Linked DNA regions of Danio rerio. Each later gene encodes a partner of the first gene's protein in a complex. Links are inferred from orthologs where the notes say so. Each region holds a gene or a part of one and is shown in the gene's direction. Other genes may lie near its edges.

Evidence for each region. The genes of interacting proteins can lie anywhere in the genome.
Region 2: the proteins of vdac2 (region 1) and tomm5 are in contact, whole or in part, in a cryo-EM structure (PDB 9EII), measured with the Homo sapiens proteins. The link is inferred for Danio rerio from reciprocal best matches to the Homo sapiens genes VDAC2 and TOMM5. Residues at the interface, in NP_001171752.1 of Homo sapiens: Val38, Thr60, Gly63, Asp239, Tyr258, Gln260, Thr261, Leu262, Leu268, Leu270, Val286, Leu288; in NP_001001790.1 of Homo sapiens: Ile25, Arg29, Leu32, Ile33, Ala36, Arg39, Val40, Phe43, Ile44, Lys47.

What each region holds. Positions count from the first base shown.
Region 1 is NC_133188.1:19,708,713-19,720,176, reverse strand, and holds the start of vdac2 (voltage-dependent anion-selective channel protein 2), read left to right. Parts: upstream 1-5,263; 5' UTR 5,264-5,475; intron 5,476-11,315; 5' UTR 11,316-11,320; coding exon 11,321-11,387; intron 11,388-11,464. UniProt on the Homo sapiens protein: Non-selective voltage-gated ion channel that mediates the transport of anions and cations through the mitochondrion outer membrane and plasma membrane.
Region 2 is NC_133189.1:49,377,364-49,388,827, forward strand, and holds tomm5 (mitochondrial import receptor subunit TOM5 homolog), read left to right. Parts: upstream 1-6,260; 5' UTR 6,261-6,374; coding exon 6,375-6,495; intron 6,496-9,248; coding exon 9,249-9,283; 3' UTR 9,284-9,662; downstream 9,663-11,464. Other genes in the region: si:dkey-109l4.3 (uncharacterized protein LOC559137), read right to left, coding at 3,273-3,311, 3,413-3,495, 3,617-3,808, 5,660-5,837.

The sequences.
Region 1 (11,464 bases):
CCATTTCTCTGTATTTCACATTGCATTGATTTTCAAAACTGCACCAGTTTGCTTTTTTAAGGTTCCATCTTGGAGATTTTTTGTCTTTGAGTAGCTAATGAAGTAATAATCAATGGAAAAATGATCACTTCCACTTAGGTCATTCCAGTACACCCCATTTTGAAAATTAATATTTTTATCCATTTCTCAGAGAATATTGGCAATGTATTTTTGTGCATTTAAACAAAACAGATTTATTAAACAGATGTATTTATTAAAATAATATATAAAACACAAACACAACTCTAAACACAATCTTTTAAAAATCTTCATTAGCTGCATTTCCACTGTCGGGCCAGTGCGAGCCAGGGCTTTTAATCGGGCTGGGCTGTGCCAATAGCCCTGGAGCATGAGCAGTGAAGCCAAAATCATGTCAGGTTTCCACTGTCGGGCTGGTAGCTAACAGCACATCACGCAAACCCCACCCCCAGAACATCCCCCGAATCAAACGTCACACAACCCGCCTAGTTCAGTGGGAATCAGGCAGACAGATGAAGCACATCTTCGCATCATCAGAAAACGATTAAAATAAAGACAACCGAAACAAACAAATGACACGGTACTGTACAGCATTACATTGTCTATACGCATAGGCCTACGTATTTTCATTCATTATATTTGTTTAATGGCCAACCGACATTGGCGTCATGCATCAAGTGGTCTCACCACAAACTGAAGGACCCAGCGCAACATCCATTATATAAAACCATAGAAATTTTATAACATCCTTGTTTTGATAGACGCCGTCAAACATTCACCCCAAAAGTGGCGGAGAGACCTAAAAAATATACATTTTTTACCTAGGCTATATAACACTTAATAGGTAATCTCTTTATTTAAGAGAATAAATGAAGGATGTTGAGTTAAGTAAATAAACCAGTTAAGCGTTCCAGGACCAAACAATAAAATATAGGCTATATATCGTTGTGCTCAGCAGCTATCCACTAATAAAGTTCTAAAATTTTACAACGCATCATATGAAAACATAAACATTTGTTTGAGGACATGAAACACATTTTTTACATGCAGTTTTTCCCAATCCGTTAATAAAGCAGCACTGCGCAGGACTGGATGACAGAAAAGAAGGTCGTTTCTGATGGTTATACTCACCCAAAAAATGCTGTTTGCAAGATTTGATTAATATCATTGTATTCAAATAATAAATAAATTATTATTAAAAACTCTGTTGTGTATTGTTTTTAGAGAATATCCAAATCCATGCACGTTTCATGCACAAACCCACCATTTAAACTTGACAAAAACTCTCGACAGCTGAAGGTTACAGGCTGCTGTGCTGTGTCTTTAATATGGTGTGAAGATTATTATGTGTTATTGAAACATCAAGGAGGACGCAGCAGAGAAATATCACTTATTTTATGCAACATGTAGTGTAATGCGGCACGCCATCTTTACCAGACTCTGCAAACTCCGCCTCTCCTGTCACTCCGCCCTGAAGCCACAGCTGACCCTCTTTTGCCCAAGGTATTCTGCGGGCAAAAAAGGCTGCCCCACAGAAGCCTCGCTTTGGCCCCATTAGGCCCCAGATGTGACAGTGGAAACGTGACTGGCCCTGGCTCGCTCGCTCACTTTAGGCGCGATAGTGAAAAAGCGGTTATTGTCATCATGCATTAACTTGTTAATTGACTGTCAGTTTTTGTGCTTTGATGATTTTCTTAACTTCTGTAAAGTGTCAAGTTTTACAACTAAAGCTTTAGCTGTTCATTTGATTCTGACAGTATGAAATCTTGAGGAAAAAAAAAAATAACGGTTTTACAGTATTGTGCTGCTCTAAAATATGTTCGTCTTAGTGTCTGAGTAAAAAACGAATTCTAACGTTATTCCCCTTCTGAACACAATATATTTTATTTTGAGAAACATTTTAAATATTTTTGGAGCAGTAAACATGTCAGGCTAAATAATTCTAATGAATCATTGACTTTTGTCTTTATTTGTTTCAAAATATTCGGCTGGAGATAGCGTTACTATTTTTCTAAAAAAAAAAAATGTAAATAAAAAAAATGTTACACACCTTAGGAATGGTAGTAACGTAAGAACATTTTTGGCGATTTTAATACCTTTACTATTCAAAACCGTGGTATACCTTGAAAACGGTTATCGTCCCATGCCTAAATGTGCACACATAATTTCCATATGGCCATTATGATGATGATGCTGCAACAAACGTACCTGGCTGTTTATCAGACCCAAAGAGAAGAAAGCCGATCCAAGCAAACTCATTTAGGTGCTGATGAAAAGCTGTTCTCACATGCACCAACGAGTCTTGAACCAAACGAACTTCGTCGTCATTGTCCGCCCAAACACCATGCCTTGCTGTCCACTCCAACAATGTCTCAATCGTCCCACGAAGTGCAGTTTTTCACGTTTTGTAGCGGCGTTGCAATTGCACGCTTCTTGTGTAGCACGTTACGATTAGTTACGATCAAAAACTGTGCGCATCCTACCAACCTCTTGCTCAATGCAGTGCAGTCGCAGTTATAAAGTAGCGTACTGACACCTAGTGGCCAAATGCCATTACAAATAATGAATTTAAAAGAAAGATCTGTGATACCTATATATGCTGAGCATTTTATAACTGCATTTTAGTGACATTTTAAGCACTATTTTCAGCTGGATTTGCACCACACTTTTTGATACGCCAACATTTTTTCCTAAAGATTTAGAATAAAGAAATATGAATAAATACTTATTTTTAAAATACAATTTTATTATTTTATTATAAAACAAAAATCTGTTAAAGTTTTTAATTAAAAACTGTAGCTCATTTATTAGGCAAATAACAAACTAGCCAGCACATTCAACTTTCCTCAGTCACAATTTGGCCATTTGAAAAAAAAAATGTAAACAATAATAATAATGATGATGATGATAATAATAATGATAATATTAATAATATGGCAACACGGTGGTGCAGTGAGTAGCGCTCTCGCCTCACAACAAAAAGGTCGCTGGTTCGAGCCTCGGCTGGGTCACATGGCATATCTGTGTGGAGTTTGCATGTTCGCGCAGGTTTCTTCCGGGTGCTCCGGTTTACCCCACAAGTTTAAAGACTAAAGATGCGCTATAAGTGAACTGGGTAAGCTAAAATTGTCTTCAGTTTGTGTGAATGGAAGAGTATGGGTGTTTCCCAGTGATGAGTTGCAGCTGGAAGGGCATCCGTTGCGTAAAACATATATGCTGGATAAGTTGGCGGTTCATTCTGCTGTGGTGACCCCAGATTAATAAAGGGACTAAGCCAAAAAGAAAATGATTGAATGAACGAATAATAATAATGTAGAGCTTCACTATTTTTGCCTCTGTTGTAGGCCTACATTTGAAAATTCATGGATAACAAGAGCCAAATTAGTATTCATATTCATTTTAATTTGGGCCGCTTTTGGTGCTTCACACCTTTTTATCAGTCATTTTGTTTCAAGAATAAGGTCCTAAATTTTTTCTCCATTTCTAAGCAATACATAGCGAAAGATGACTTCACTTACATCAGATTGTGTGTTTTCTGGCATAGGATGTTGGACTCATGAAAAATAATTGTTTGCATTGGCCAAAGCTTAGCTGATTAGACGAGAGGGTGCTCGCTGCAGAGCCATTTGAGGAGAGGTGAGCTCCAGAGAGGGGGAGCATGAGCTGTCGCTCCTCCTCCTGTAAGCTGTTTTAATGCGTACACCAACCCCACCCCTAACCCTACCCCCAGTGACATCACTCGTAGAAGAAGTGCAAAAAAGGTGGAGCTCAAGCTTAAGCTCCCCCTCTCTGGAGCTCACCTCTCCTCAAATGGCTCTGCAGCGAGCACCACTTGGATTAGACAGCCAACAGAGGATTCTGCTTGGTCTCAATGCCTTTTTCTATGGGATATTTCAATATTTATGATAACATAGTAGTCAAACTCCCACATGAGGACAAATGAGCTCATGTGGGACAAATTCTGGACCTTTGTCAGTGAGGGGTGGGTCTTCCGAACCCCATCACCCCCTGGCTACGGGCCTGTTTTTATTTAACTGCACTATAGCAATAGACAATAAACAGTAGGTGACTACTGCTACTACTATTACTAATTTACAAATGTTTGAGTCATGAGTTTTGCGAAAACTACATCACTTTACAATATTGTTCCAGTAGTCAACTACTTTAGTTATCATTCAAGTACATGTGAATAATGTATTAGTAAATATAATTTAATACAACTGAGGCAGTTAACAGCCTTTCAAGAGTGTTTCAATGGCATACCTTTTAACTACTTCAGTTACCATTCAAGTAAATTTGAATAATGTATTAGTGAACATATTATAGTGTATTAGTGAAATTGAGCCAGTAAACAGCCTTTCAAGAGTGTTTCAATGGATGGTGTACCTTTTACACCATATGATGTAAAAACAACATACAAAAATCAAAGCTAATAGTGAAACTAAAATTTAAACTAATTAAATAAATAGTAAATATACAAATTAAAAAGCTATTTTGCATTAAGTTAACAAAATAACATCTTTTTATTTAACTGCAATATAAAAATTACAGAAGGTAACTACTGCTGCTACTTTTAATAATTTACAAGTGTTTATGAGTCTTAGGTTTTGTCAAAACTAATACACTTTACAATATCTTCCATTTGTTTACTACTTCAGTGATCATTAAAGTACTTATGAGTAATGTGTTAGTAAATATAATTGAATAGAACTGAGCCATTAAACTTGAAAATGGATGGTGTACCTTTTACACCATGATGTAGTCAACGTACAGAAATCAAAGCTAAATGTGAAACTGAAACTTAAACTGAATAAACAAAAAGTACAGATAAAAAATTAAAGTTAATTTTGCTTATGTTAATGAAATAACATCTTTTATTGAACTACAATATAACAATTACAGTAGGCAACTACTGCTACTACGCCAACTAATTTACAAATGTTTGAGTCATGAGCTTTGTCAAAACTGTAACACTTTTCATTATTGTTCCATTAGTTAACTACCTCAGTTACCATTAAAGTACATATTAATAGTGTATTAGTAAATATCATAAATGAGTAAAAATAATTTAATAGAACCGAGCCAGTAAACAGTCTTTTTACTAATGTTTCAATGGCGTACCTTTTACACTATATGATGTAAATTCAATGTAATAGCCCTTGTCTAAAAAATAACTGAGTCACAGGACATGCAGTATATTGGCGACTTAAATTGACGTACAGTAGCATGTCGCAATACCGCGCAAGCCACACATCTGTTCCTGGCCGTTAGCAATTACCGTCAGGCAGAGGTGAGGACAGCCCGGGGTCCTTGAGCGGGAGGCTGTCGGCACGGGTGTGTTACATTACAGTCTCCTTCAGTTCGCCCTCCAACTGGCCAGACCCTCCACATTGGCTCAGCGCTGGGAATAACTTCAGCAGCCGCGTTTCAATAACCGCACTCCACTCCTTTTAACAGGTAAGTCGCCGAGAGGAGCGGGAATCATATGTGGCTGAATTGAAAGCGTCGGAGACGTTAATTCGCAAGCTTTCTACTTCGTGTTAGCTAGCGCATTAGCACGCGTTAGCTGAGCTTGCTCGATATCTCTCTCTCTCACACACACGGTCTGTCTTACTGTAACGACCGGAGAGAAACAGATGAGCCTGTGATCGGTCATAGCGTGACATTAGCACAGCTCAGCAGCTTTACAGTCTAATCTATAGTGTAGCTTTAATTCAGATCAGTGCGGCTCCTGCTGACTTCTCTTGCATCCGAGCAGCACCAAAAATGCGTGACCTGAGTCACTCTCATCATATTTTGCAGCTCCTTTTCTTCACTTTTTGTTTGATTTAATTACAGTTAGTGTTGTACATCCCTCTGGTCCAGTCTTGCATGTGGCCTTCAGAAGCTTTCCTGCGGCTGCGTTAAATTGGGTAGTAAATCCGCAGTTCGCCTTGCCCTTACTTTGCCCTTTATAATAGAGCAGTTCCTGAACTCATCTATTAATTCAGTTTATTATTAGAGGGTAATAATCCTACACAATTTTAATAGGCATTTATGCCAAATTAATAGTATAGTATAATATTTTTTATTACATGTTTAAAGCGCCAAGGAGTATTTAAGTAATTATTTTTGTACTTCCTGAAAAGAAAGATCTGATGGATGGTATGCGCCTGACAAATCTGTGGGACCAGACATTCCTGTTACTCAATGACATTGAGGTAAAGTTGGTTTTATATTAGCACATCCGTACATTATTGAACTGACAACTTGTTACACGGTCCCTGTTAACCATGCTATTTTCAATATTCTAAAATCGCATGCAAGTAAGACTTAAAAACAACATTAGCATCATTTAATTCACTGTGAACAATGTTAAGAGTAATTTGCTGCTAATATGTCTTTCTCTATTTAGGATTTTCAAGTAATACTTTTCTGAAGCTGTACATGTAAATCTAAAACCAACTTTACCTCAATCTCAATGACCTATATGATAAAGGTCACAGGTGAAGCATTTTGCTATATTTAGAATCAGTTATTTACTCTGTTTGAAAAATAAATGTTAGCGTATTCCTATATATTCTAATATTGGTTGTATCTGTATTATTTACAGTCTTCCTGGGTTTGTATTGTAGTTATTTTCTTTCAAAATTTATTGCTAGATGTTTCTTTTATAATTGATTGCATTAAACCAGCCTGGAGATGAGACTAAAAGGTGTAATTACATGTATTTACTAATACACATTTTTTGATTTTTAGCCAAAACATGTTGTGTACCCCAATATAGACAATTTTGTCTGATGTGTAAAGAGAACTTTAACTAGATATTAGATGGACTCCATACAGTTAGCACAACAATCTTATAGGGTTCCCATGAGTCATGAAATTTCTGAAATATGGGATATTACGAGGTCTAATGTTTTATTTATTATTATTATTTTAATGATTTGTTTGCATTTTTTAGAGGTAAAGTTGGTTTTATATTTGGATATTCAAACATTCTCCTTAACTTAATTTCAGAAAAGTATTCATTGCAAATTCTAAATAGGAAAATCATAAAGGCAGCCAATGACTATCAAAGTACAACATTGTTGAGTCAATTACATAGTGTTAATGTTGTTTTTAAGTAATTCTTGCATGCTAATTACGATCGAATATTCAAAGTAACAAGGTAAACAATATAGAGACTTCTAAAAGACAAATGTGCGAATATTAAACCAACTTTACTGGTATCCTTTTTAGTCAGTAAATCCAGGGCAAAGTGAAGGTATTTGAGATTTGACTTGGATTGGGGACCCTGACCTTATCCTTGAAGTCCTTTAAGGACACAAACTCATGTTGCAAATTCTAAAATAATCATGAACATTTAATTATATCTCTTGTAATAGCTCAGTATTTCAGTGGAAGAAAGAAGTCAATACTTATGTAAACTATATGTCATTAGACATGAAATTTCTCTCTGGCATTTAGTGTCCACAGCTCTGAGTTCACTAGAGAAACAGTCTCTTAAGAAGGGTATTTCTCTCAATATTTATTAGAGCTATCAGCTATGGTGAGAAACTGATTTCAAGATTTTATAAATCATTGTTTTCACCTTTGTATAAATTTTGCACTTAGTTTAACAGCAGATGACGCTGTAAGCTTTACAAACAGCCATTCTCTACTTGCATTAATTCCTTACTAAAACCACTAAAAACTAAAATAAAAAAAAAATCTTTATTTTTAATTATTAAATTTAGGAAAGGTTTAAGTGAGTGCTCATAGTAAATGAACTGTATTAATATTAATCTTGTAAAACAAAACTTAACTTGCATGACTCGGTCAAACACACCAATACTCCTTCATGAGCATATGATTGGTATGAATGTTTTTGCTTTATTTCTGTAATATTGTCTATTTTATTGTCTTTGATTTTGAGTTGGGGATATCTAAAATTAATGTTTAAATAAATGTCTTTTTTATTTATACATTATATCTAATAATAAATTCAATAGTTGGTACTCTGTTGTTGTCTGTTACTTAAGAAGTTAGTAATATGCAATTGATAGGGCATCTTTATATATTTTACAGCATTAGCTGAGATTACTGTTCATCATTTTTAATAGAGAAGCAAGGGCATCTTTCCCACTTACTGTTCCAAAAATGTAAATCTCACATTTACTTAAGATAAAAAAAAAAAAAAGTAAATGCATAATTTATAACAAGTGATCTATTCAAAATCTCTCTCGCTTTTTTATTGTTTTATTTTTTTTATTTCCACCTGTCTGTTTATCAACATTCTTCAAAATATTTTCTTTTGGGGTTTATCATTAGAAATAAAATGGCACAAACAGGGTTGGAACAACTTGAGAGAACTCATTTTAAATTTGGACTTTGAGAAATGTTGTTGAGCAATATTTAGGAGTGATGTTGCTTCGCTACTTATTGAAAATGGGTAATATTGTATCTGGATCCAGGCGAAGCACTGGCACAGTAGGTAGTGCTGTCAACTCACAGCAAGAAGGTTGCTGGGTCAGTTGGCGTTTCTGTGTGGAGTTTGCATGTTCTCCCTGCGTTTGCTTGGGTTTCCTCCAGGTGCTCCAGTTTCCCTCACAGTCCAAAGACATGCGGTAGAGGTGAATTGGGTAAGCTAAATTGTCCGTAGTGTACGAGTGTGAATGAGTGTGTATGGATGCGCTATAAGTGAACTGGGTAAGCTAAAATTGTCTTCAGTTTGTGTGAATGGAAGAGTATGGGTGTTTCCCAGTGATGAGTTGCAGCTGGAAGGGCATCCCGCTGCGTAAAACACGTGCTGGATAAGTTGGCGGTTCATTCCGCTTTGGCGACCCTGGATTAATAGAGGGACTAAGCCGAAAAGAGAATGAATGTATCGGGATCCAATTGCTCCATTTACTTGCCCTGTGTCTCACCTGGTTGCCCAGTGATGGCATCATTTGCCAAAGTTGCCCAGCAACATTGCTCTGAAAGTCGCCCCGTGTATCATGACATTAAGCAGAAGATTGCTGGAGACCAGAAACTTAAGGTCATGCAGTTAACCCTGTGAAGTGGATATCTGCTGTATTGTCATGTGAAAATTGGGGATGTATAAATCTTCTTTCCATCACAGCACTAAAAGAACACAAACTGGTACAACTGCTGGTTTGCAACACTGCAGGGAAGAGTGAATCGTTAAAGAGATAATTCATCCAAATAGTAAAACTTCCATTTACTCTCCCTTCACTTCTTCCAAACATAAGAACACAAAGGAAGATATTTAGAAAGGGAGCAAAAACCTGTACCCATTAACGTCTGTGGTATTTGATTTTCCTACTATGAATGTCATTGGTTGCATGTTTTCAACTTCTTCACAATATAAATTTGTTCAACAGATGAAATTTATAAATGTTTAAAACAACTACATTTATAGTCCCTACTTTTTATTTTTACATTTTGAATTTATTAGCAGTTTTATTGAAGTTTTGGGCAATGTTAGTGTGCATTTTCTACACCAGTATGAATGCACAAAGCCCACTGCCATCAACCTTTTAAAAAAGTAAAATGTTCTCAATTCATTTTAACAGCAGGTGACGTGTTCATAAATTACTTCTAAGTGCTGAATGGTGATTACTAATTTATTTGCATGCTGCATTATGAGTGGTCTTTAAAATTGATCCGTCTGCATACATTTAAACTCAACCATGACACTTTACAGCAGGAGTGGGCAAACTCAGTCCTGGAGGGCCGGTGTCCTGCATAGTTTAGCTACAACATTAATCAAACGCACCTGAACATGCTAATCAGTGTCTTCAAGATAATTAGAAATCTATAAGCAGGTGTCTGTGATTAGAGTTGGAGCTAAACTATGCAGGACACTGACCCTCCAGGACCCAGTTTTCCCACCCCTGCTTTACAGTCACTGTGGTCAAGCAGTGAAAATATGAAGCTCTTACATTGACTTAAAGGGATAGTTCACCAAAGAATGAAAGATCTGTCATTATTTACTCCCTCCTTCACTTGCTTCAAACCTGTCTGAGGGTGCTTTCACACCTGTGAATCGATTCAGTTGTTCCGAAACAGAGATTACAATTGTTACATTGTTGCTCTTTGCTCTTGGAGCGGTTTGCTTTCACATTGCAAAGTTTCTAATCGGACCAAAAGAGCTAAAACAAGTCACGTGCGAGTAAACTCACCTCACATTGGTCAGAGTGTCAGGGTTTATTTTGCAGCGTCCCGCTCCGCTGTCAGGAGAGGTGGTGGTTTGATGGTGACTGACAGGGTGCGCGCGCGCGACGTGTCTGAGGAGAGACGCGGTGGGGAGGGGTGAGAAGGGTGCGCGACGATGCCTAGGACCGGGAGGGAGACGCGAGATTACCGGGAGATCATCACTCGTTTGCGGGCATCCGGAGACTCGCGAAACTTCCCGCCCTACTCATAATTCTCTCTTCATATAGCCGTAAGCCTATTACATATTCATAAAACAGTGTGATATAACCGCACTCGGATCGGATCGCTTTCTCACTGCAATCGAACCGCTCCAGGGTTCGTTTCAATCGATTACTTTGGCGCGGAACAGAGCACGATTGCCCTGTTCACATATGCCAATCGAACCGCGCTAACTGGGCAATCGAGATACGTTCTGAAACAAAAGTGTAGGTGTGAAAGCACCCTGAGTTTCTTTGTTCTTTTGAACACAAAGGAAAATATTTCATTTTTTAGACTATGTATGTTAATGGTTAAAATGTTTCAGCTTTCTTCAAATATCTTCATTTGTGTGTAGCAGATAAAAAAACAAAACAAAAGGTGCATGTATTACAACTTGAGGATAAATAAATAGAGAAATGTGATATTTTTTTGGTGGTACTGTCTCTAAGGCAGGGCCACACTACATTTGTAAACTATTATTCAGAGCGCACAGATTTTGTTAGTTGTTCAGTGAGCCTCCACCACGATCACTCATTGCTATTCACACAACTGCTTCTTCTGCTTACTTGCACACGTCTAAATGTGTGTGTCTGTGGGAGTGAATCGGGACGTCACTTCCTTGCTCTGTGACTCAGTTAGGTGCGGCCTGCTGTCAGTTCAGATTAGCTTGAGTGCAGCAGCTGCTTTCAGGCTGGGTCATTTATCATACTGATAGGACATGGTGATAAACCATGGAAAGCTAGACATACTGTAGACCACCCAAAACATCCCACTGTTGCTTGGTTCAGAAAAATAACTTTCGTACAGTTTTTTTTTTTTTTTTTTTTTACACTGTTTTTTTGGTTTTTGCACAGGTGTTTAGTGTTATGGTGTTCTTCCGACCCACTAATGATCTTTGCACACTCTGTTTTAATTAGATAAAATGGCCGTTCCCCCAGCATATGCTGATCTTGGCAAATCTGCCAAAGACATCTTTAACAAAGGATATGGTAAAGTATTTAATAATTCATGATGTCTCTTGGGAAAAAAATGTTTTTTAGTTTTCTGTATTTGTTCAAAGCATTTC
Region 2 (11,464 bases), on another chromosome or scaffold:
TAAAATCTGTCTTACGTATTACATTCATAAAAACTCATGGAGAAAAAAATAAACCAGTCTTAATTCTGACTCATACAGGATCTCTGTAATGAATGATCAATGGAAAGCTGTGTATGAAACGAATGTATGGAGGAGTGTACGATATTGGAAAAAATGGAGTGTGCAATTTTTTTTATTAATATTCGATAAGATGATTTGGAATAACTCTATTTGAGTTTTCTTGGGAGTCTAACAATATCAAAGTCCCTTTAAGGCAAGTCTTTTCCCTCGGCAGCCATCTTTGAAACTCCTTTCGGGCATTCTGTTTGAATGGGGAAACATTAAATTCTCCAAAACTGTTTGCCAAGCCTACGATTAAATTTCGCATTAGGAATCACCAGTAAAACTAAACAACAACAGTCTCTTTAGTTTCATTTCTAAACCTTTGAATCACATAAAAACTGCAGAAACTCACTTCTGGTCCGAGCCACACCCCAGGAGAATCATCAGTCCAGAAACGAACATTTAGAAATGAAACTAAAGAGACGGTTGTTGTTTAATTGTTATTCGTAATATAAAATGGAATCGAAAGCGCAAGTAGATTTGGAGAATTTGATGTTTCCCCATTTAAACAGAATGCCCGAGCATACTGCCCGAGAGGTGTTTTTAAAGATGTCCGCCGAGTGAAATGACTTGCTTTAAAGAGTCTTTGGTAGTCTCTTTGGACTTTGGTTGTGGAAGCATATAAGTAGCAAAATTCATTTTGAAATATAATATGCTAAATGGCAATGTATTTCTGTATTTCAAATAGCATTTTTCAAGACATATGTGCAATGGTTGGTGCAAGATATACCATATGTGCAAGATATTTCCAATTTTCGTCACTTTCTTCATTTACTTGAAGAAACGTTGAGTTTAGTATATGCAGGAATCCTAATGATAATTTCAATACCTTTTAAAGACTTTCTCAGAATATTTTAAGACCTCATCGCCACTTCAAGTACTAATCAGGATCAAACCTTTAATTTAATAAACAATTGTTAATAAACAGCTTTAGTTAAATAAATTAATGGAGCACAACCATGCAACAGAAGCGCAGGAGATACAAAGCTTGAAAGAGTAAATCACAAGGTTGTTTTCAGCGACAGGCTTCAGCCACTGTTCAAACTCGTCTTTCTTCAACCAGGAGTATGCAAACTTACATTTTCCCATTTTGCCGTCTGTTTTGATATGGTTACGCAACATGTGGAGAGCTTCACATCTTTTTTCTGCGTTTGTCACAAATGACGTAACATCACCCGGATGGAGGAGCTTGGCCGGACCCGCCTGGCCAGAAGCAATCGCTTGGAACGAGCACACCATTGTAATATTAGGAAGATAATAAATATATTTATGCTTTTTTGAAGTCAAAAACTTTGGACAACACTTGAAAACCTCGTAAAAACGCAATTAAGACTTTTATACCTTTAAGGGCCTTAATTGTCTCAAAGTTTTCTCAAAATTTTACGCGGACACCCTGTTAGAAAAATAAATAAAGCTCACTGCACAAAAGTAAAAGGCTGAAATTGTCCTTTTTAATGTAAAAAAAATGTATTTAAAAAAGAAATATATAAAACAAGTATGAAGCAGTAACATACAAGACTAGCAATTTAGCATTACAAACACTGGTAAACTTTACAATAAGGTTTCATTCAATTAATCAATAACTGAACAAGGCATTATTTTAGTTTATTAACAAACTGTTTGCTGTGTGCATTTATTTCAAGATTTCTTAGTTATGCAGATGATCACATTTAAAAATGTATATTATCCAATATTAATTAATGCTGAATGTGGATTGTTTATCATTAGTTAACTAATTAACTGATGTGTAAGGGTTAGTTCACCCAAACATTTGAAAGTGAGTTTGTGTGTGTGCGTGGCTCCTGATGATACACTGAGATTACACTGTGGTAAATAATTGAAACAATAGCCCCTTTCACACATACAGACCTTTCCGGAAAATTACCGGCAATTTTCCGGAAAGGTTGTATGTGTGAACAGGTCCTTTTTGAAAATACCGGTAAATTCGTTCTGGCTATTTTCCGGAAAGAGAAGTTGTAACATTACCGGCAATTTGCCGGAATGCTGCGCTGTGTGAACGCAGAAGGAAGATTTCCGGAATAAGCTCGTGCATGTCTAGAACGTGCTGACGTGAGACGTCTGCTTTAGCCAATCACAACAGTCAGACGCATTTACGTCCGCGCGGTTTGTGAGAATAAAAGCCTTTGAATATTTTTCCAGACACATTTAGCTGCTAGAAGTTAGTCAGATAACGTTTATATGTTCTTCTTAATGCCAACTGTGCAAATAATCATCGATAAGATGCTTATGATAAGCCGTTGTTTGTTTACCTTCAAGCTTTGCGTGTGCCCATGAAACAGCCTGTGAGCGTCAGCACACGCACATATTATGAACATCTCGACATGCGAATATGATCCAGTGAAAGTTGTTTACAATATTGATCATCCACAGAGTTTGTAATTTAGTCAAATGTTTACAAATACAAGCGCAGCCGTTTAAAGCTCATTTGTGGTGAATGATGTCAGAATTTACCGGTATTTTGGAATGGATGTGTGAATGCTCTTTTCCGGAAAATTTCCGTAACGTCCTCGCCTGTGTGAACAGCGCTTTTTTGAATATACCGGTAAAGTCGTTCCGGAAATTTTCCGGATATTTACCGGTATCACTGTGTGAAAGGGGCTACTGTCAGGTTTTGTTTTGCCTCTATACTGTTTTGCCTCTCAAAGTGTTAGCTGCTGACTTGCATATGTTGACCACAGATTCAGCTACAAATATCTTTAATACTGAAGAAAACGTCACCTACATTGTGTATGTAACGGCTAATTAAATTTTATTAATACGGTGAACTATCCTTTAAGCCAATGAAACCTTATTGTAAATGATATACAGTACAAATATGTCATATAAAATCAGCAACAAGCTTTACATTTTATAAGTAGAATACAGTTTTTTAATGTTATGTTTTGATTCAGTGTTGGATAACTGAGGCTGAGAGGCAAAACAAATCAGTAGCCTCATTAAAGAAATATAACACTGTGGATTAACTAACTACACTTTATAATATCATGGCAGATATCTTTCATTGTCCACAGAACATGTCAGTCTGTAACAGCACTGATGTGTTGAAAAGGCACATACTGTATGTCATGATATGTAATACAGTATTCAATATACAGGCTGTACTAAACAGCAACAAGATAGGTTTGAGCTTTTTAGGCAACTCTGTATCGTCAGAGACAATCAAGAGTGCTGACAACTTCCTGAAACACCTACAAAAACATGGGGAATAAAAGACAGTTTATTGTTATGAAGGCACAAATCACACTAAAATGGAGGAAATATTTACTGTAGTATTTAACAATGAACTCACTTCTAAGTTTGTAAACAGGTACGACAGTGCAATGAAAAGCTTTCGCTCACGCTCACTATATCGCCAGCAGTGGATGGTTTGACCTAAAAACAACAACAACAAAAAAGAGCGTGTATACATATTAGTGGAAAATTCACCCACTAGAGCTACTACTTATGAAAATATATCACTCATGTTATGGAAATAAACTAATAAGGGGCTTACCCTGGACTTTCTGTTGAAATCCGCCTGCTGCATTGCCGATGCAGAAGCAGCCCTGCTCGAAGCTGATCTGATCATATTTTTCGATGTTGGCCAATAAAGTGCCATTCACAGGCAGGTATAGAGTGCTGCCGTTGGGCTGCCAGCTCTCCGACTGATACACACCTCTCTGGCCATCAATCAAGACAAAACCACCTAAAGGTGAGAGAAATAATAGCAATTTTAACTCTTTTTCAATTATTTAACTGGTGAATTTTTAACGGAGCAATCATTTGTATAGTATTTTCCTATTATATTTTACATCTGGAGACTTATTTCTTTTAGATGGCTAGAAAAAAATAAATATTGAAATAATGTAAAACTGCTGAGGTCAATATCATTAGCCCCCTTAAAGGATTTTCTTTTCCGATGGCTACAGAACAACCCACTGTTGACCAACGCCAACTGGATTTCATCAAGTAGGACGTGTTTCTGGATTATCATCTATGTCAGGGGTGGCCAACCCCGTTCCTGGAGAGCCACCTTCCTGCAGATTTCATGTCCTAATTAATTGGTTCAGGTGTATTTGATATGGGTAGCAACTGAAATCTGCAGGAAGGTGACTGCAGGAACAGGGTTGGCCACCCCTGCTCTTTGTTGATCCTGGAACAACATTTCTAATCAGAATTAAGAGATATGTTTACAGTTTATGCTAAGTTTAAGCTTATGGTTTGGTTTATGCATTTTTAAATGATTGTTATCCAACTATTCCCTCTGATTTTGGGAATAATTTACAGTATTGGTTGGGTTTTGGGGTGTAGGGAATAGGTATATATTACATTTTCAAACAATAATTATGTTCCAGGATCAAGATGTTAATCCAGGATTGCATTGTACTTGGCAAAATCTTGACGTGCGTTGACCAATGACTTGCCAATAACTTAGTTAAGCCATAAAAATTGCACTTTGCACCGAATACAAGTAGGATATTAAACAAAATGGTGCAATATGCTGTACTGTTATCATGACAAAGACCAAAGGAATTCGTTTTAAAAAATTAGTTTTTAAAAATACATTGAAAAAAATCTTTACGTAAAACAGCACTCGGTAAATATTTGAAAATTAATTAATTTTTCATAGGAGGGCTGGTAATAATTTTGCCTTCAACTGAATCTGTTTATAAACAAACATATAGGCCTATATGTAAGGCTAAACAATTTAATGTTTGAACATCGATATCTCAATGTGTAGATCTGCAATAGAATATACTACTATTAAATATTATTATTCATTCATTCATTTTCTTTTCAGCTAAGTCCCTTTATTAATCTGGGACGCCACAGCAGAATGAACCACCGACTTATCCAGCATATGTTTAACGCAGCGGAATGCTCTTTCAGCTGCAACCCTTCACTGGGAAACATCCATACACTCTCATTCACACACATAGACCTGCACCACATGTATTTGGACTTGTGGGGGAAACCGGAGCACCCAGAGGAAACCCACGCCAACAGGGGGAGAACATGCAAACTCTACACAGAAATGCCAACTGACCCAGCAACCTTTTTGCTGTGAGGCAAGAGTGCTTCAATGTTGTTATTTTTAAAGTTATTTATTCAATGATGAACATGTTATTTTACGTTTGATTATTAGATAGCCCTGAAAACCATAAAGCACTGTTTATTTTTTCTTTTAATTTATAATATTTTATGCAGATCCACTGCATAGAAAAATAAATATTTTTAAATAGACCTATTCAAATCATCTGGTGAATTTATATGCATATCGCCAAGGTATATTGCAGCAAAACAAAGTATCAAAATGTCAGATGTGCAGCCCTGACTATATGCTTTGCAAATTCTTCACAATTACAAGCCAAAGAAATGATTAATATTAGTGTTTATGTTAAAGATTTTAGCTTCGGAGTATGGCTAGATATAGATGTTAGTATGTCTTTACTGGTTAAATATTTAAATATAAAGCTTAAACTCAAAACCAAACTAAAAAAAAAACATCTAAAAGTAATGACCCGTTCAAAAGCTCAGCTGAGAGAGCAATACCTACGTTTCCTCAAGTTTTCTTTGGAGGGAAAACCATTAGCAGCGTCTCCTTCATTGCCATTTAGTGTACTGGCATCATTTCGTTTACGTTTACTGGGTAAACACGTCGGCGACGTTTCACTGAATCCATGAACCCATTTCAGACAAGCGTTACTGGACATAAGTCCACTGGGGTCCATCATTCATTCAGTACTCAATGGACTTGTGTGTAAATCAAATGTATATTACGTGCAGCTACAACGATATTTGAACATTTAAAAATGGATGCCACAATATCTGTGATAAAATATGTCTTAAGGAAATAAAACCAGCGCGTTATAAAGTCTTCAGTTTTGCTGTCTTGTTACACAGCGACAAGAGATTCACAACAAGCGCGCAACAAAACCAAAACAATGAGCCGTGACTAGATGTGCTCTTTTTGATATTGCCTGATTAAAATAACACTATTATTAACAATTTTCATACAATGTGTGAAAGAAGTTTATATTTAACGCATTGCCATGTTATAATATGTTATTATGAAAATAATGCGTTGTTGTTAATAACAAACTGATCGTAAGAATACCCGATTTAATATCAGGCACAACTTAGTAGGGAAAAAGCGGGGGTCCTAGAGGCAGCTCCGATGTGACGTATTTCCCTTTTCGCATGCCTTTAGGACAGAGAGTGGCTTGAAGAGATCATTTCAACCACAAAAAACCCTTCATTCAAGCTGAAAAATGTTTAAACTAGAGGGACTCGGGCCGAAAATGGACCCGGAGGAGATGAAGAAGAAAATGCGTGAAGATGTCATTACGTCTGTTCGCAACTTTTTGATTTACGTTGCGCTTCTGCGAGTCAGTGAGTATTCCAGACGCTTCATGCATGTCTTGGGTTAGATTAAATGTCACGTGTGTCGTCTTTAAATTTTGATTGTCATTTATATTCATAGAGTTTGTCTTGGGACCGCGTTAAATCATGAGTAATATGTCTTTTCAACATAAATGGATGAATTTGGTCTATATGTAGATGATGAATGACAGAGGTCACCTCTAGCACTCATAATGAATTCAAAATCTGTATAGTTATTACGTATATTTGAGCCTAAAGAACATTTCTTTTCAAGAACAGACATATTTTAGTAGCCGTGATGTATCACTTCTCGTTAATGAAAGAATTAAAATGTCAAAGATTTGAATGGTATTGTATAATTAGCATATTTTTACTGTTTACCTCATTTTGATTAAATATGCAAGTGTGCCACACCTTTTAAATCGTTGAATGACACATTAAGATAAATATGGTTTTACATTAGCACATTTTGACTTTCTTAACCTTCTTAATTTTTACTCAAGATTCTTTAGCTATGAACAATGTCTTAAAGTAGTGTTTAACATGAATTTATATAGACATACAATAGACATACAATAACTGTGGTAAATACAAGTAGGCACTAAATATGTATTACAAAATGAACAATAGATGACCGAAATCGAAAAACTTTGTTTCATTACCAATAGACAGCTCGCTAAAATCACTATCACAGGGTCTGACCAAAAAAATTGACTCTTTAATCCATCTGAATGATTTATCAACCGGCAAAGTACAAACAAAACAATATCCTTTCCTGTGTGCAGAGTGCTGGAATTTTCATTCAGTCCTTCAGTTGGATTACATTAGTGTACTAATGTAGGGAATAGTGAATGAGGGTATATACAGTAAGTTATACTTTGGTCATTTTTGAGCGAGATGGTTATGATCTAATCCAATAAAATAATTGACGCTAAGGTAAAAGTGCTCCTACTTGACCAAGAGATTGGCTGAAAGAAAGTAAAAAGACACAAGATTCTTTCTTTCTTTCTTTCTTTCAAGAGAAAGAAATAAAGAAATATATTTTAAAATAGAATACCTAAATATGTGGATGAAAATAAGCTACAGAATAAAGCAGTCATAACGTGTATCAAAATAAAATACAGTATTTTGTATTTTTTAAAAAAAAAAGCATTAAAATTTTTTTTTTTTTATACAAATCTTCCATTAATAGACCTATTGGATCAATCCCTTCACCATTAAACTGACATGGTAAAGTACACAATGTTTGTTAGAAAATGTGGCCAGTAAGATGCCCTTATCTCTGTACAATGATTATTCAACCTCTTAATATTTTAAAATGGTGTTAGTTTTTTTTTAGCAGAATTTATCAGAAATATTTTTTTCTATTGAACTTTTCAATTCTCATTGTAAAAACTGCATTAGAAGTTTTTGATTAATAAGTACTTGTGTTGCGTAAGTTGTGACATAAGGCTTACATCTTTCCTCTTCATTACTATACAGTGGACCTATCAGCTGCTGTATGTACGAATTGGACACTAAACTGACAAATGTAAAATAGTTACATTTCCTTATGAGACCAGGCTGGAGGATCGACACAGAATAGAGATGCTTATCTGCAAAAGGCATTCGGTCTGAAATGTGTCAGTCAGTGACTTGGAATAATGTTTATGGAGATGTTTTCTTTCTGATGGATAAATAGTCTGGATACCCATTCATTTCCTATGGCAGTCACTTTTGACCGGAAACACCACAGGTGTAACATGGTTGATTAAGGCCGTACTCACACTATGTACAGTTGTCTCGAACTGGGCCAAAGCACGCTTGTCCCCCCTCCCGTCTCCCTCGACAGCCCGCACTCACACCACAATCGGGCCTCGGCACGCTTGCGTCATCCCTGCTGCGCTGTTCAGTGAGAAGCGCTCTCTCACTCAGCAGCACAGTGGAGATTTCTCTAGTTATATCGTTTCAGTCGTTTGTTATGCAGTGACATGCAGTCAAATATTTAGCCGAACAGTCCTTAGGGATGTGGTGACACGCAGTCAGATATTTCGCCGAACAGATCCACCACTTTTAGCACTCATAAACAATCATAAAGCCCTCGTGCTGCAGGAATGAGGAGGTCTGCTGAAGGTGCGCAGCTGTCATGCAGTGAGGGGTTTGCGTATTTCATAAACTACGGCAGTTTGCGTTCACTGAACAGTAAGAATGATTAATAAACCCATATGAAACAGCCCCTTAAAAGTCACGTCTCGCTTTCAGTTTCGGGCTTTGCACTCACACCACAAGTGTACCGCGCAAAAGCCCAAGTGAACCGCGCTCAGGCACACCTCTTCCAACCGGGCCAGGGCCGGCCAAGTGAACCGTGCTTGAGCTCGATTCAGCGCACTCACACTTCTCAAACGATCCGGGAAACGGGCCTGGGCACGGTACGGATGGCATAGTGTGAGTAGGCCCTAATACACTCAAAATTAAATGAAAGAGGTGAACATCGGTTTTATGTTCAAATGCATAGCATTACTCAGTCAATTAGATAATTCTTATGTTGTTTTAAAAATCTATTTCAGACCCAATATTTAAAAGAACAGTGAGAAATTGTCACTGTTCACAAATGAAGGAATGTGCGAATATAAAATCACCTTTACCTTGAGGTATTAATCTTGTTGTAATAGCATATTAACATACATGTATTCATATTTTTTGTACCAGCTTTAAATATCATTCATGACACATTTTTGAAGCCCACTTGCTTTTAATTACTAAATAAATTCCTTTTATTTCAGCACCCTATGTTTTGAAGAAGCTGGACAGCATATGAAGCTTCACCCATGGGCGAAAACATTCCCTGTACAGAAGAGCATGCGGGACTGGGACGATGCTGCACAGAATCGATTACATCGGCAGTCCACAAAGAGATGTGGTCAATTTGTGTAGTCGCTAATTAAATTTTTTTATTTCCCTGGGTGATTTGTCCTCATCCAAACTCCATTAAAAACAGGTGATGTCTACAAGAATTTTAAGTTCACAGTGACCCAAGCAATAAATCCTTTCAGCCATTTATATTGACAGTAGTATTTCCAAAATCATGTGTCTCGAGGATACTATACACTCTGTTAATGCACTGCAGAAATTGTACCTTTCTTTGTTTTCATTGTATTCATGACTCAACTACCAAATACAGACTTTTCAGTAAATCCTTTATTGTTCTGTATCATTCATTCTTCAGCATCTTTAATCAGCATCATGGAGTGTATAAGGACAGTTGAGTGTTGAATGAATCTCGAATTTCACAGTTAGAGCAAATGAGTGTATTAAATCATTGTGTTGGAATGAGGTTATCCAATAAACCTAATCTAATACATGTTTTATCCCATCTAATCTCATGGTAAATGTAGTGCATTCAGTTGTTAGGTTAGACTGGTTTTCTGTCAGTGTAAGGCACGAGTTAGATTGCTACATTTTCAGCTCGCTGGGCATTTCAGAGCCCGTCAGGCCTGCCAGTAAGTTGTTTGCCGTCAGTTCACTCATAACACCGCGGGTAGAGTAAGTGGCACTGCCGATGTGAGGAAGAACCACTGCAAGACAAAATAACATCAAGGTTTTCAATGGTAAAGACTGAAGACAGATCGCTTCTCTGAGGTGCATTTACAATGTAGAAGTGAGATATAACCCTTGTGTGCTGTTGGGGATGTTTTCGTCCACTCTGGGATGATTTTGCGTCTTAATTGGGCCACAGCTTTCTCTGTGTTTCAGCAAATGGAGTTTTTTTTGGTGACTACTCTCATTATGAGACATATTTTGGGAAAATGCTTTGAAAATTGAAACTCTGAAACACTGGGAAATGTACTACCCTTTCGTTATGTTCGTGGCTGTTTTTGCCCCATTGTCTTCCATTTAAAGTTTTTTTATTATTACAAAGTCATGACACCATATAATCATGCATTCTTGATTGTTGCTGGTTTTCCCTGTTGGGAAGAGGTACAATTTTACATTTTTACTGTTGATCATCAGTTGCAGTGCAAAAAAAATAGCTTTGTTTCTGGTGTAAAATGATATGGTTATATGGAGAATAATGCGTTTGAGAGAGACTTTTGTGCACTTACCTTGATATGTTTGAGAAAATAAAAATAAGCAGCTCAGCTCTCAGACCACAGTAAATGTATTTATGCAGTCTAGGGTTGTCACGATACTGAAATTGACCCTTCGCTAAGCCCCGTTATCCTTATGACCCTTTCCACTGAGTGAAGCTACGGTCACACGAGTTTGTGTGTCCGATATTGTCGTGCGGCGCTGCGAAAAGGGGCAGGATTAGACAAGATTATTAGGCATTAAAAAAGTGAGCGATTGCTCTATAATTTAAATTTCTGTCCAGAGAGTTCATGTTTTGATCCTCGATTGGTCTCACGCAATCAAATGATGGGATTTCGCAGGTCAGAGTTCACCAAGCTCGAAACTTGACGCATGACCCTGCGACCCTGCAATTCTGGAAACGCAGGGTCATGCGTCGAGTTTCGCAGGTTGCTGCGGTGCAAAGTTCAAGCTTGGTGAATTCTGACCTGCGAAATCGCATCATTTGACTGCGTGAGACCAACCGAGGATCAAAACATTGCCTCTCTGGACAGAAATTTAAATTATAGAGCAATCGCTCGCTTTTTTTAATGCTTAATAATCTTGTTTATTCCCGCCCCTTTTCGCAGCACCGCACGACAGAATTTCGCACACACAAACTCTACTGTGACCATAGCTTTACTGTTGTTATGCCTGTCAAGCTTTCGTGCCTGGCCATCTATTATAATATGTAAACGCCGGTATATGTTCCCAGGGACCTAATTAGTCATTTTGGCGAACAGGTGAGATATCCGAGAAAGCCAGACAAAAAAGGACTGCAGTATGCCCTACAGGGGTAAATTCACAGCATAAAATGCAACTGGTTAGAAAATTAGAAAATCAAAATTGAAGCTAGGTTAGCCTAGCCGCCTAAAACGCTGACCATTCAACA